3 linked regions of the Arabidopsis thaliana genome follow. The protein of the gene in region 3 interacts with the protein of the main gene of each other region in a pairwise test. Each region holds a gene or a part of one and is shown on either strand. Other genes may lie near its edges.

The links. Proteins that work in one complex are often made in the same cells at the same time.
Region 1: the proteins of AT3G29270 (region 3) and PRA1.B2 interact in a two-hybrid assay, tested with the Arabidopsis thaliana proteins (one large-scale study listed by BioGRID).
Region 2: the proteins of AT3G29270 (region 3) and CSLC5 interact in a two-hybrid assay, tested with the Arabidopsis thaliana proteins (one large-scale study listed by BioGRID).

Annotation. Positions count from the first base shown.
Region 1 is NC_003071.7:16,863,945-16,867,563, forward strand, and holds PRA1.B2 (prenylated RAB acceptor 1.B2), read right to left. Parts: upstream 1,644-3,619; 5' UTR 1,432-1,643; coding exon 790-1,431; 3' UTR 502-789; downstream 1-501. Other genes in the region: AT2G40390 (neuronal PAS domain protein), read left to right, coding at 3,441-3,619. UniProt on the Arabidopsis thaliana protein: May be involved in both secretory and endocytic intracellular trafficking in the endosomal/prevacuolar compartments.
Region 2 is NC_003075.7:15,309,005-15,314,612, reverse strand, and holds CSLC5 (Cellulose-synthase-like C5), read left to right. Parts: upstream 1-1,625; 5' UTR 1,626-2,276; coding exon 2,277-2,996; intron 2,997-3,103; coding exon 3,104-3,412; intron 3,413-3,500; coding exon 3,501-3,791; intron 3,792-3,874; coding exon 3,875-3,988; intron 3,989-4,079; coding exon 4,080-4,724; 3' UTR 4,725-5,107; downstream 5,108-5,608.
Region 3 is NC_003074.8:11,232,230-11,236,973, reverse strand, and holds AT3G29270 (RING/U-box superfamily protein), read right to left. Parts: upstream 2,802-4,744; 5' UTR 2,634-2,801; exon of another isoform or gene 1,737-2,633; 5' UTR 1,649-1,736; coding exon 857-1,648; 3' UTR 516-856; downstream 1-515. Other genes in the region: AT3G29280 (uncharacterized protein), read left to right, coding at 1-110, 202-269.

The sequences.
Region 1 (3,619 bases), on a different chromosome or scaffold from region 3:
TCACCAATAATTAGAATCCAGGAAAAGATTTCACAAGACATTCTTAACATTAAAACCAAAGAAAAAAGATTTCACAAGACACAACTCATTCCACGAAAATATATCTCATGTTATGAAGATTAAAAACAGGTCACCTATATTATATCTAAGAAAGAAGCAACTCAGTGAGACTTTGACCGAAAAAGACAATTCAGGTGACCGAATCTTCAGTTTGTTTTTGGCAGCCGAGTTTTTAAGACAAAATCCCCAAACTAAACGTGTGTCGTTTTTGTCAAATTGGCCAAACATGTAAATCCAGTGGGAAACTTTCCCATGATATAACCCTCTTACTATCAGCAAATTCGTACACAGTATTGGCTGTTCGCTTTCGAGATAGAGGAAACTTGTGGAAGAATAAAATAGTTGGTAGCTAGAGAGACATAGACATAACTAGTTACAAGATTTACATCTACCACGTATGTTGTTAAACTACATGTTGTTTGTTTAATCCTTAATACTTTGGTCAAACTATAATCTTCACTGGTTTAGTCTAAATCTAACTCAAACATATGGTGATGAAGGCAAAGAGTATCAAATTGATTTAAGGTAAATGAGATCTTACAATACTTGAGAAGGATCAGCTCCAAATTTTCTAAATTGTGACGAAATTGAAGAATACAACACAACAATGCATCTTTAGATCTAACACTTACAGATCTTCATCGAATCTATACTCAAAACATAACTAAAAACCCTGAGAATCCAGGTTTCGTTTGTTCTCTAGGATCAGAATCATCAAATTCGAGCTTCTCAAACTCGTCCTGCAACAACAGAAGCAGCAGCAGAAGTAGCAGCAGAATTACCAATGAACGAGAGTAAACCAGCATTAGCAGGCTCTTGTTCATCCAAGAACAAATCATCAGGAACCCTAAACGCACCATGTAAGCAAACAATCGCGATTCCAATCGTTAACGCCGATGTTAACAAAGATCCAACACTCGTCATAAACACAACCACAATCGTAGTCAAAACAAGACCAAGCAAAGTCTCACGATCTGAGAAACTACGACCAAAGAGAACCAAAGGCTGATCTGAAGATCGGAAGAGGTAGAGAAACATCCAGGAGCCTAAGAGAGAGAGGAGGACGAGAAGCGAGAATGGATGCGAGAGGAGGGAGAAAGCAAGGACTAACGAGACAATTGCGGAGTAATTGACTTTGAAGTAAGCGAGATTCTTACGGATCCGGGAGAAGGAATCGGTGAGAGAGTCAGGTCTAGCGAAGGAGCTCCGATCTACGAGTTCTAGCCATGGACGGCGTTGAGAGAGGCTTTCGCGGAGAGAGGACGAGAGGCGTGAGAGGAAAGTACGGAAGGCGTGAGAATTGATTGGAGGTTGAGATTGAGTGGCTGCTTGCTGGTTGGTGACGGGAAGAATCGCCGGAGAAGAAGACATTATTGGTGGTGTCGGTGAGTCTGTGCGCGGCGGAGAGAGTGTGAATTTGTTGTTCCGATTTTAGTGGAAACTGAAGTTGCGGCAAAACCGTGTTAGATATTCTAAAGGCCTAAATTTTATGGGCCTATAATGTTTTGGAATAGGCCCAATATATTAAGTTGGAGTTAATAGCAATTTTTAGATGGGTCTATAATGTTGGAAGAGGCCCAATATATTCCACTATTGGTTCATAAAACCATTTTTTTTTTTTCAACAAACAAACAATCTTACTGGTTCAGTGGTTTGTATCTATATGATGTTACAAGGATAACACAACACAAACTAGTAAATTAGTGTAGTTAATAATATTCTAATTTTATTTGCAGATAAATTACGACTTCCTACAATTGTTTATATGATCATTTCAATAATTATCATCTCATTTCCCACCCTATGAGTGTTCTCGTTGAACAAATGAAACAATCATATGATCAATTGATCATGAATGATAAAGGTTTACTAAATATATCTATAAACTGTGAAATTAAATTATATACAAATTATGTACACTTGAAGCTAAACAAATTATGAATTATATACAAATACAAATTATATACATAAATAAATATGAATTATGAGTTATATATGAATTATGGTGTCTTGAGACACCAGGAACTTGGGGCAAAGACAACTGGAGGGAACTCGAGAGCATTTTTAAAGACGCCTATGCAACCGGTGGTGGAGACTACATGAAGAAGGGGGTGCAAGCGATAAAAGATGAGTTTGACATGATTGGGACAATCAAAATGAGATAATGAAAACAAATGGAGGTTTGCGGAACTTGTTCATGTTGAGATGACCGAGATAAATGAGGTTGACGAGAATAACAAGAAGGTAAAGGTAACATGTAGTTACTTTCTCAAATTCGTGGATGGAAACAATAAGATATTCTCACTCAGCCTAGGCAATGTTGAACTCAAACGTTGCACTATCAATTAGTGAACTCCAAATCTACACTATCAATAATGTGTTCTTGTTTTGCTTCGTCTAGCCAATTTATTTGGCATAAACACTTGGTGTTTTAATTTGGTTTTTCTAAAATTCTACTGTTGCTTTATCTAAAACTCTACTTGAGTTTTGTTTTGTTTGGTGTTTGCGTTTGCTTTTTGGAGTGTTTTCTTTTGAACTTTTGCTCAAGTGATTGATTGCTTTTTGGAGTGTTTATCATCGAGTCGTTAGTTATGTAGCCACTATTAATTAGTCGTTTGAAAAGTAGATGAAAATTAAGACTTGAGGAAATCAAACACAATCCATAATTTGAATTCACCCCGAAGATAATGATCAGCTGCTATTGTAATCGTCAGGCTTCAAGTGTATATAATTTATATTTGTATATAATTCATAATTCGTATTTATTTATTTATGTATAATTATTTGAACACACTCCATAATTCGTATTCGTATTTATGTATATACAAACACACTCCATAATTCGTATTTATTTATGTATCAAACATATAATTAGTAAACTAAATAAAGACGAAGAAACATTATTGAGTAGAATAGAGGCATCGAATAACAATATTCGTCGGCCTAATCAAGAATATTTCTTGGAAATTCGGGTTGAAATCCACATATGGAAGAATCTTGAATAGCACGTACTTTATCAATTTAATTACATCCCTCTTAACGGTCTAGCTACTCTAATTATCATCTAAACCTTTTTCCTTGTACGTTATCTCATAATTTGCAGGACTCTTAATCATTATCACATTTCAAATTTTCAATATTTTACTAAAGAGACGTCTCGTGTTCGTGCGTAGCTCTATATTTTCTGGTTTACGTAAAATAGTTCATGATTTTGTTTAGCTTACCTTTTGAAAAAAATAAGCGAATCTTTCTTCCTTTACTTTTCTTCCACTCATTAAAATGTTCTCTCTATATATAAATGATAAATCTAGTCTTCTAATCATATACTCTCTATACCACACATATCTAGAACAACAACTAGATATTCAATATTAGCTCTAATGGCTTCTTGTGACACACCTGATGCGTTTGCTTGGCTTCAAACTCTTCCTCCTCTTTCTCTATGGAAAGGAAATTTAATGTCCATGTGTATTTGCTCTCCAAATTCATCACACCCATCTTTGAACTTCACTCTTACTCGTACCCCTCAATCTCCAAACTTTTTCACCTTCTCGATAGT
Region 2 (5,608 bases), on a different chromosome or scaffold from region 3:
TATAGAGTTCATTTTCTTGGCGTGAAATTAGTAGTACATTCATTTATTCCATGATTTTGCTCAGAATATTCAAATTTATAAAAGAAATGGACATTACTTTGGAAGAGTTGAAAAACTTATAAAACAAAAAACATAACAATAGAAAACTTTAATCGATTAAATGAATTATTGAATGATTGTATCCACTAATTACAATTATTGAAATAAATATGTATAAAGTAGAGGGTGTAAAGCACTGTATGAAAAGATTATGATAACATAGTTCAAAGAATATCATTATGAGTCATAACTAATAATCATTCACCAATACACAATCGATCATCTTAATATATACATGATTAATTTGGATTCATTTTAAAGCACACTTAAAAATATATCATGTCCAATAATTTGTGAATTATTATTTCATCAGAATTGTCATAGTTATCTAACCATTTGTGTTTAGGGCAGAACTGTGTCTGAGGCTAAATTCATTAAAAAATGTCACTAAATTCTGCAGTTTTTGTTTTTTTCCATCTATGACGTTATATAATAGCTAGCCAGTAATTATTAAAACCGTATAGAATATATTCTTGAGTCTAACTTTAATCTACATGACAAATTTTTAATTACTCAGCACCGATTGGTTTCTGTAGATGCATGTCACAAGCAACACAAAATAAAAAAAGGTATTACAAAAAAATAGTACTAACCTACAAAATTACTTATTTATAATTCTTTTGATCTTTCTCCTTTTAGCTTTTCCTTTTCTCTTATTAGTGTTTATATGATACTTTCGTAAAACGTTAGGTATTGTATAGTAAATAAAACCTTAAAAATGCCAACGAATATCCTTATCTTCTAGTGTTCTACATGTGTTGATATCACCACCGACAAGTATCTCGGGTAACCTAATTGTTGGTTGGAACTTTCAGAATTTTTAAAACTGAAAAATTGACATTATCCTTCTAATGAATCACATTCTTCTTTTTTTTGTCAAATACTTCCCTTTGTCAAAGGCATGCACCACTAAATTATCTTTTGTTTTACAAAATGACCAAAATTAGCGGCAATATTTTACGTCAACACTTGACCAATTTTGATTGTTAGAGAGCACTTTGTCAATAAACCAAAGTATAATGTTTCCCTCCTTACTCTCCTAATGTATAATATATATTTTGATTATAGAACTCATAGTTAATATTGAGTTGCATCCCTTTGTTTTAACAGTAAGGCTTTGACTTACGTTTGTGATTATACCAATTACCAAGTATGATCAACACTCAAGATTTTTTTTTGACAAGAATATAATAATGAAAATGCTTATGCTTTGAGTAAATTAATCAGGAAAACTTTTAACTCATGTTAATATAGTATTTTTAACAAATATGAATGGACTACAAAGAGAATTTGACTAAATGTATAAAATATATAATTTGGAAAAAACATGGAACATGACATGGGGAGCACGTAGGAGAAGCGGTGATAGCAAAATAGAGTGATTCACTTGAAACCGATTTGGTAGTATCTTTTCTTATAAACATGTTCCAATGTAACTAGTACATAGTTGGTCACAAATACAAATTTGAATTTGTCTTCACCTCAAATTGCCAAACAACCCATATGGTCCCCATCCATCAATGGATTTTCCTCAATTTTCTTTCTTTTGAATATATAACAAATTTGTTTTTTTTAAGAAAATACAAATATTTGTAATGAAGATCCATGACATGACAAGTGCTTGTGAAAGATTACAAAGAGTGATAATAAAAAGGGGATGAATTTTGCATGCTGAAGCAATCAAATAAGTAGCTGAAAGAGTAACACACACATGAAAGTGCAAGTGACACATCTTTTACAACTTCTCTCACTGATGATACCTTTCTTCCTCTTCCTCTGCCTTTGCTTCTCTCTCTGAGTCACTACACTCTCTCACCAACCCATCCTTCTCTCTGTCATTCTCTAAAAAAAGAGGTCCACTATAAATGAGCCTTGAGCTGTGGATGCTTCTTTGTCTGGTTTTTTAGAATATAATAAAAAACAAAATGGGTCTCTAGATTTCAGATTTCTGGGATCTGGGTGTTAGATTAATCTCTTTCTCTTCCATTATTAGTAGAGAAAGCTCACTCCTTTCACTCAAAGTTTCTACCTTTTTGTTTTCCTGAAAATGGGTTGTGTTTGAAATCTCACACTTTGAGATTTGGGTGTTTATTTTGGGATCCTTCTTACCACATTTAGAAATTTCAGCTAGGGTTTTCGATTTCTCTACTTCTCAGAGGAGATTTTAGAGGCAAAAGATGGCTCCAAGGTTGGATTTTTCAGATTGGTGGGCGAAAGACACGAGGAAAGGAACACCAGTTGTGGTGAAAATGGAGAATCCTAATTACTCTGTAGTTGAAATCGACGGTCCAGATTCGGCTTTTAGACCAGTGGAGAAGAGCAGAGGCAAGAACGCTAAGCAAGTCACTTGGGTTTTGCTTCTCAAAGCTCATAGAGCTGTTGGATGTCTCACTTGGCTCGCCACTGTCTTTTGGTCTCTCCTTGGTGCCATCAAGAAACGGCTTAGTTTCACTCACCCACTTGGCTCTGAGAAATTAGGCAGAGACAGATGGCTTTTCACTGCCATTAAGCTCTTCTTAGCTGTTTCCTTAGTGATTCTCGGCTTTGAGATTGTTGCTTATTTTAGAGGATGGCATTACTTTCAAAGCCCTAGTCTTCACATCCCCACTAGCACACTTGAGATCCAGAGCCTGTTTCATCTTGTGTATGTTGGTTGGTTAACCCTTAGAGCTGATTATATTGCTCCTCCCATCAAAGCTCTCTCCAAGTTTTGTATTGTGCTGTTCCTTATACAGTCAGTAGATCGTTTGGTACTTTGCTTGGGTTGTTTTTGGATCAAGTATAAGAAAATTAAGCCGAGATTTGATGAGGAACCTTTCCGTAATGATGATGCTGAGGGATCTGGATCTGAGTATCCAATGGTTCTTGTTCAGATTCCAATGTGCAATGAGAGAGAGGTATGCTCATTCAACTTTGGTATATCCAAGAAAGTATTCATCTTTCTCCTGCTTTATATAACCTTTTTGGTATCAGTGTAATGAGCTTTAGTCTTCTTCTTGTTCAGGTGTATGAACAATCTATATCTGCCGTGTGTCAACTTGACTGGCCGAAAGATCGAATACTGGTTCAGGTTCTCGATGATTCGAATGATGAAAGCATCCAACAGTTAATTAAAGCTGAGGTTGCCAAATGGAGCCAAAAGGGAGTCAACATAATCTACAGGCATCGCTTGGTTAGAACTGGATATAAAGCTGGTAACCTCAAATCAGCAATGAGCTGTGATTACGTTGAAGCATACGAGTATGTCGCAATCTTTGATGCCGATTTCCAGCCTACTCCGGATTTCCTTAAACTAACAGTTCCACATTTCAAGGTTGGTATTAACATTGGTTTCAATTTTCTATCATTGAAAAGTGGAGAGAGAGATTGCTAACATGTTAAAAATGTGATTTAATCTTCAGGATAACCCAGAGTTAGGTCTAGTTCAAGCTAGATGGACATTTGTGAACAAAGACGAGAACTTGTTGACCCGTCTTCAGAACATCAATCTGTGTTTTCACTTTGAGGTGGAGCAGCAAGTGAACGGCGTGTTCTTGAACTTCTTTGGTTTCAATGGAACAGCTGGAGTATGGAGAATCAAAGCCCTTGAGGAATCTGGTGGTTGGCTTGAAAGGACTACTGTGGAGGATATGGACATAGCAGTCCGCGCTCATCTTCATGGATGGAAGTTCATATATCTTAATGACGTCAAGGTACTACTTTTTATCGATTGTTTCTAAAAAAAGCCTTATTTATGTAACAAAATGAATTAAACTGGATAGAAACAAATCTATAGGTCCTTTGCGAAGTTCCTGAGTCCTACGAGGCATATAAGAAGCAGCAACACCGTTGGCATTCGGGACCTATGCAGCTTTTCCGCTTGTGTCTTGGTTCAATCTTGACCTCTAAGGTAGTGTGCAGCTTTTTTCTTCTTTTAGTTCAAATGTTTGCTAATCATCATGTTAATGACTTCTTCTGGTTCTCATTGGTTACTCTTGCAGATAGCGATATGGAAGAAGGCGAATCTGATACTTCTCTTCTTTCTTCTTAGGAAACTCATACTTCCTTTCTACTCCTTCACTTTGTTCTGCATAATCCTTCCACTCACCATGTTTGTTCCAGAAGCTGAGCTCCCTGTTTGGGTCATCTGCTACATACCAGTTTTCATGTCTTTCCTCAACCTTCTTCCATCTCCAAAATCGTTTCCTTTCATCGTTCCTTATCTCTTATTCGAGAACACAATGTCTGTCACCAAGTTCAATGCGATGGTGTCCGGATTATTCCAATTGGGTAGCTCTTACGAGTGGATTGTCACAAAGAAAGCTGGAAGATCATCAGAGTCAGATCTTTTATCTATCACCGAGAAAGAGACACCAACCAAGAAAAGTCAATTGCTTAGGGGAGTTTCCGACAGCGAACTTTTGGAGCTGAGCCAACTTGAAGAACAGAAACAAGCGGTTTCAAAGAAACCTGTCAAGAAAACCAACAAGATATACCACAAAGAGCTCGCATTGGCCTTTCTTTTGCTCACTGCAGCGCTTAGGAGTCTCTTGGCAGCACAAGGAGTGCATTTCTACTTCCTGTTATTCCAAGGTGTTACCTTTCTTCTTGTGGGTCTCGATCTCATAGGCGAGCAGATGAGCTGAGAAGAACAAAAGAAGATTCATAACTCGGGTCAATAAATCAGTGAGTTTGAATTTCCACTTCCTCTATGTTCAGTGGTATCCTCTGTAATGAGATTGTTGGAACCATAGTGGTAGGCATTAATTGATTTTCCGTTTCGTTTGTTTGTTTGTTATGTTGGTTTGATTCCTCCATTGTTAGGGATAGAGTGTGAGCCAGAGATTCATACATGTATACAATATCTGTAAAGTTGGAACATGTTGTTGGCAGTTAAAAGAGCTTCTGTCTTGAACTAATTTCAAGGATCATGTCAAATCACTGCAGAGAATTTATGTAATTTAAAGTCCAACCTTTGTGGAAAGAGATTGTAACTGTAAATAACTAACAAGAACCAGTTTTCTGACTAAACTGAAACAAGAGAAAGACCAATATTTATTGTATTCTCTGAGGATCTTAGGACATTCTCAACTTAGTGTCGGTGAAAAGTGAAGAAACGTGGAGCAAAAAAAGTGTCGGCAGAGGAAGTGGAATGAGGAGAAGCATAATTGCAGAAAAAAAGCAGAGGTCAGAGAGGTTTACGTCACATAACAATCAATTCAATGATGTGTAAGTGAAGAATGGGACCAAACAGATTTTAATTTGGTGGGTTTGTTGATGATTCTGGGACCGAACTAGGATCATGATCTTGTCTCTCTTGCTTTTCTAGGCTTTTAATTGTTGTCATGCCAAAACAACGTCTCCATGTCTACTTCGCAAGTATACTTTTATTTTTTCACTTAATTTGGGATTTATAGTTGCTGAAACGAAACCATAGCTAGTTGTTACGTGAATAAGAGCAAATCAGATTATGTATTCAATCTTCCTCTTAGGCAATTACTTTGCTTCACCTTCATAAAAGTGAACAATT
Region 3 (4,744 bases):
GAAGAAGAAAGTATCGGTTTCGTTCGAGTGTGAGACATTGAAGGCAGATGAAGCAGCAGAGGACCATATCAGACAGTTTATGCCCAAATTAGCTGGACTTGATGCTGTTAGTAAGTAAAACCAACACTTTATTCTTGTGCCATTCTCATTACATTTATGTTGTCTTGTTTTGTTGAATCAACACACCGGGGTTTTTGCCAGTTAACATTGGACCGATGAAGATTTCCGGGCTTGATTTTGCTGCGGTGGAAGAGGGACACATAAACTAAGACAGCTTAACTCTTTCTTTTTGTGTATACATCATATTTGAATGCTCTTTGAGTCTTTGTTTCATATCGTAGAACACAATTAACGCTTTAAGCTCAAATGATCTAGACTAGAACTCATAGAAAACATAAAAGAGAAATAACCGAACCGAAACCAAACCGAAAAGCCGTACACCCACCCCTAATTTTGGGTGTCATCTTTTGCTTTCTTCTATGGAAATGGGTGGAACAAACAAACAAAAGAAAAAAAAACCCATACAATTTAGTCATTATATATAAGAAAAATCAATGCATTTAGTTACGCAATTCCTAAATAACATTGCATAAACTTTATATACATAAATCTTATTGAGACACTCAAACACTCACAAACAAATCCACAAATACTAATAAGTTTCTGCAAGAGCCCTTACAACACATACGTCCAGCTTCGTAGAGCAACAATGCAATCCAAAACTACATCCATATATAGATAAAGAAGACGGTAATTACGAAATTGTTATACTTACATGACCGATCTTGGGTCTCAGTTGTTGAAGAAAAGTCGTCAAATTAGGAATGGGAAGTTTCTGAACGCATCCTTAGAAAGTTCATGTGACAATCTCTCGAACAAGCCAGTCGAGACAAGGATAAGCGAAGTAGAGGATGAGAAACGACGGTAGAGCCAGCAAGAGAGTGACTAGAATGTACATCGCCAATATGGCTGCACTGGTCGGTATTGCATAGAGTATTATCAGCAGAAATATGACAACTAATGGGAACTTTGCTGTCAACTGGACAAAGAAAACCAGAGACTTCCTCAGTGAAGTTTGTATGTTGTCCCTTGGAATGCGATGATCATTAACAGAACGTGATGGTTCAGGTTGACTGCGATGATGGCGATTGTGGAGACATGGAGATGGAGTTTCCCTTGTATGATCATTGTTTCCATCTGTTTGAGCTCCACCAGGTGAGTTACGTCTCTCTCCATTCATCCTCTCGACCATCCAAAGCACAAAGTAGTTCTTGTGAGGGAATCTGAGTGTTCCTCTGAAGACCAGACGGAAAGACAAAAGGTTGCACCAGGGGCATGAAATGAAGAGAGGAAGCTGAACCGGGTGAGTAGGCAATTTCACAATAGCCCATTGAAGTCCCAAAATGCAGTTTTTACACATCGTATGTCCACACCATAACACATACGGAACGTTTTCAACTATATTAAATGATTCCCAGCATATAGGACACTCGAGACCTTCGTCTTTACTACCTACAGAAGATACATCGTCATCTGAACACTCCGCATGAGCATGGACCGGTCTTCTGATATCGTTTTTCGGTCCAATGTTTCCCGTAAGATAACTCGATGCTAGATTCCACATTCTAGTATCAGGGATGGATAACATGAATACCTTGTTTGTCACTAAGACCTAACCAGTTCTGCTAATACTTAACTCTCTGACCTTCATGAACACCGAACTCGATGCTTCATCGCTTCATAAGCAAAGAGAAAACACATATTAATCCTTCAAAGACAATCCCAACGACACACCGATGCAATTCCAACTAAGAATCAACTAATAAGATTAAGTGCTACATTGAGCAACCATGGTAACACAAATCATTAAGAACCTACTATACAGCAAGATTCAATTTTTATGATCAGAATCGATATTCGAACGCTTTAACTTGTATTAGAGCTCAAAGCTCGACAATTTCATCGATAAAGGGGACTCTTTTATCTTTGAGCCAAGTTTACTCACCGATGCAATTCTAACTAAGAATCAACTAAGATTAAGTGCTACATTGAGCAACCATGGCAACACAAATGATTAAGCAACTACTATATAGCAAGATTCAATTTTTATGATCAGAATCGATTATTCGAACGCTTTAACTTGTATTAGAGCTCAAAGCTCGATCATTTCAGCGATAAAGGGGACTCTTTTATCTTTGAGCTAAATTTACTCACAGATGCAATTCTATATCAGTAGCAACCAACTAATAAGACCAAGATTTAGTGATACATTAAGCAACCATAGCAACACAAATGATTAAGAAAACCCTAAATAGAAAGTTTCAATTTTTATACTCAGAATCGAAATCAGACTCTCAGACTTGTATTAGACCTAAAGCTCAATCATTTTCAGCAATAAAGATGATTCCTTTATCTCAAAGGTTATGACTTTATCCGATACAGAAGATCCCAATATAAGATTAAAGGAAGAAAGAGAAAACCCTAAAATCAAAATCACTAAATGAGATAATTGATCACAGAATTAAGCAGCTAACGAAGTAATCGAACCTAGATAGATAATTGAAAGGACAGAGCAATCAAATGGTTCACAATAACCGAAACTAAATCAGAGTGATTTAGATAAAGATTCGTACCGATTCGACTCTGCTCTGAGCTTTTTGTTTCGTACGTGAAAGAAGAAGATGCTTGATTCGATTTTTCCGGCGAGACCTAAACTTTCTGGGTTTTGTTTTGCTTTCATAAACGACGTCGTTTCAATCGTGTACCCAAGTTTTCCTTCCAAAAGTGTTTTTGATATTTTCTAACGTAAAAACTTGGTTAGTTGTTTTTTTATAAACATAATAACATTACCAACCAAAACATTTACGCTTATTGAAGATTAAGTAAACCTCTGAAAAAATAAAACACAGAGCGGTTAATTTTATTAATATAATTTAATAGAATTTTGTATTATAAGTTATTTATCAATTCAATTTTTTTAATATTTTAAAAAGAATAATAATAAATATATTAAAAAGAAGAAATATGAGAAAAAGAACAATCACGAAAGAAAAATAATAATAAAAGAAACTTTACGTTGTTTTTTTTTTATCTATATGAGTGTATATAGATAAAATGCAAATGGACTTAATATGTAAATATTTCTTTAATTTTTGCAACATTCTTCTCGTCCAGAGTTCATTTGTCATTTATCTCTTTGCGATATCTTTCATGTTGTCTCGTTAAAACTTTTCTAATAAAATCCATTGGTAGAAACCACAGTAAGGTAAAAAAGTATAATCATACAAGCTCTCCCTCGAATGACTATGGACATGGGGTGCAGGATGTTCGACATTTTTTCTTGTTACCATGTAATAATCATTGAATGCTTGAGACGTAAATTCACCAACGTTATCTAATCTAACTCCTTTGATTGGATAATCAGGAAACTCAGCTCTTAGTTTTGATTATCTGAGTTAGAAATCTCGCAAATACCACATTTCAAGATGATAACAAACAAACATGTGACCATCTACTAGACATGTCTATCATTACCATGAAATAATATAATGGTATACATGGTGGGTGTATAGGTTCACAAATGTCGCATTTGACTCGTTCAAGGAATTTTGGTAATTCTTTATCGATTTTGCTTGTCGATGGCCTTATAATCAATTTTCCAAGAGAAAACGTAACACATGTCCTTTTATTTTCTTGATAAAACTCTTAGGGTTTCATTGAATGTCCATGTGAGCTTTTTATAATTTTTTGCATCATCGTGGTGCCTGGGTGACCAAGGCGATCGTGCCACAATGTGAAATCATCATGATCTCTTTTGATAACAAGATGTGATCCTATTGAATTAATGTATGTATGATGCAATCCTGATGGGAGTCTTGGTAATTTTTCCAAAACGTGTCTTTTTCCCAATTTTTCAGAAGTGATATACATGTACTTTTTTTCATTCTCACTTGCACACTGAGTGTCATATCCATGAAGGTATATATCTTTGAAACTCAACAAATTTCTTTTTGAATTTGGTAAAAATAATGCATTATTTATCGAGAACTTTGTCCCGTTAAGTAATGCAAAATTTGTTTTACCGGTCCATTCAATTAAGTCTATGGGACCTGATATTGTGTTAACAATAACTTTTGTTGATTTCAAATGAGAGAATTTTTTTTTTTGTTTTAGAATAGTGTGTGTTGTTCCACTATTCGGTATGCAAATATCTCTAAGGTTTGCCTTGGATACCATTCCATTTGTAATGTGATCCATTTCTGAAATAAACATAATCGATTAAGGTAAGTAGAAAATAAATTTATTAATCAAGCATATAACACCCGATAATTATACATGATAGGTAACACAAGCACACAATAATTACACATGATAGGTAATACAAACACACAAACTTAGGAAATTTCAAGCAAGCGTCGATTTATTTATGACATATTAATTCGAGCCCCACACGATAGAAATTTCAGTTTTCCACAAGGACAACCTCATCGAGATCATTAGCAAAGTCAGAAGCATCAAGGTGGGTTGTACCCTCAGAATGTTCCGCAAGGTTCACTTCCTTTCCTTTTCCCTTAACAGATTTTTTGTACAGAGCACAAAGGTGTGCTGGAGTTCGGCATACCTGATACCGATGTGCCTTAGGGTCACATCTGAAACAAGCACTGTCACATTTTTGAAAAGTATTTGCTTGGATTTCTTTTCCTTTCGATTCATGCTCAGGACGAATCTTTTGGTATGACTTCCT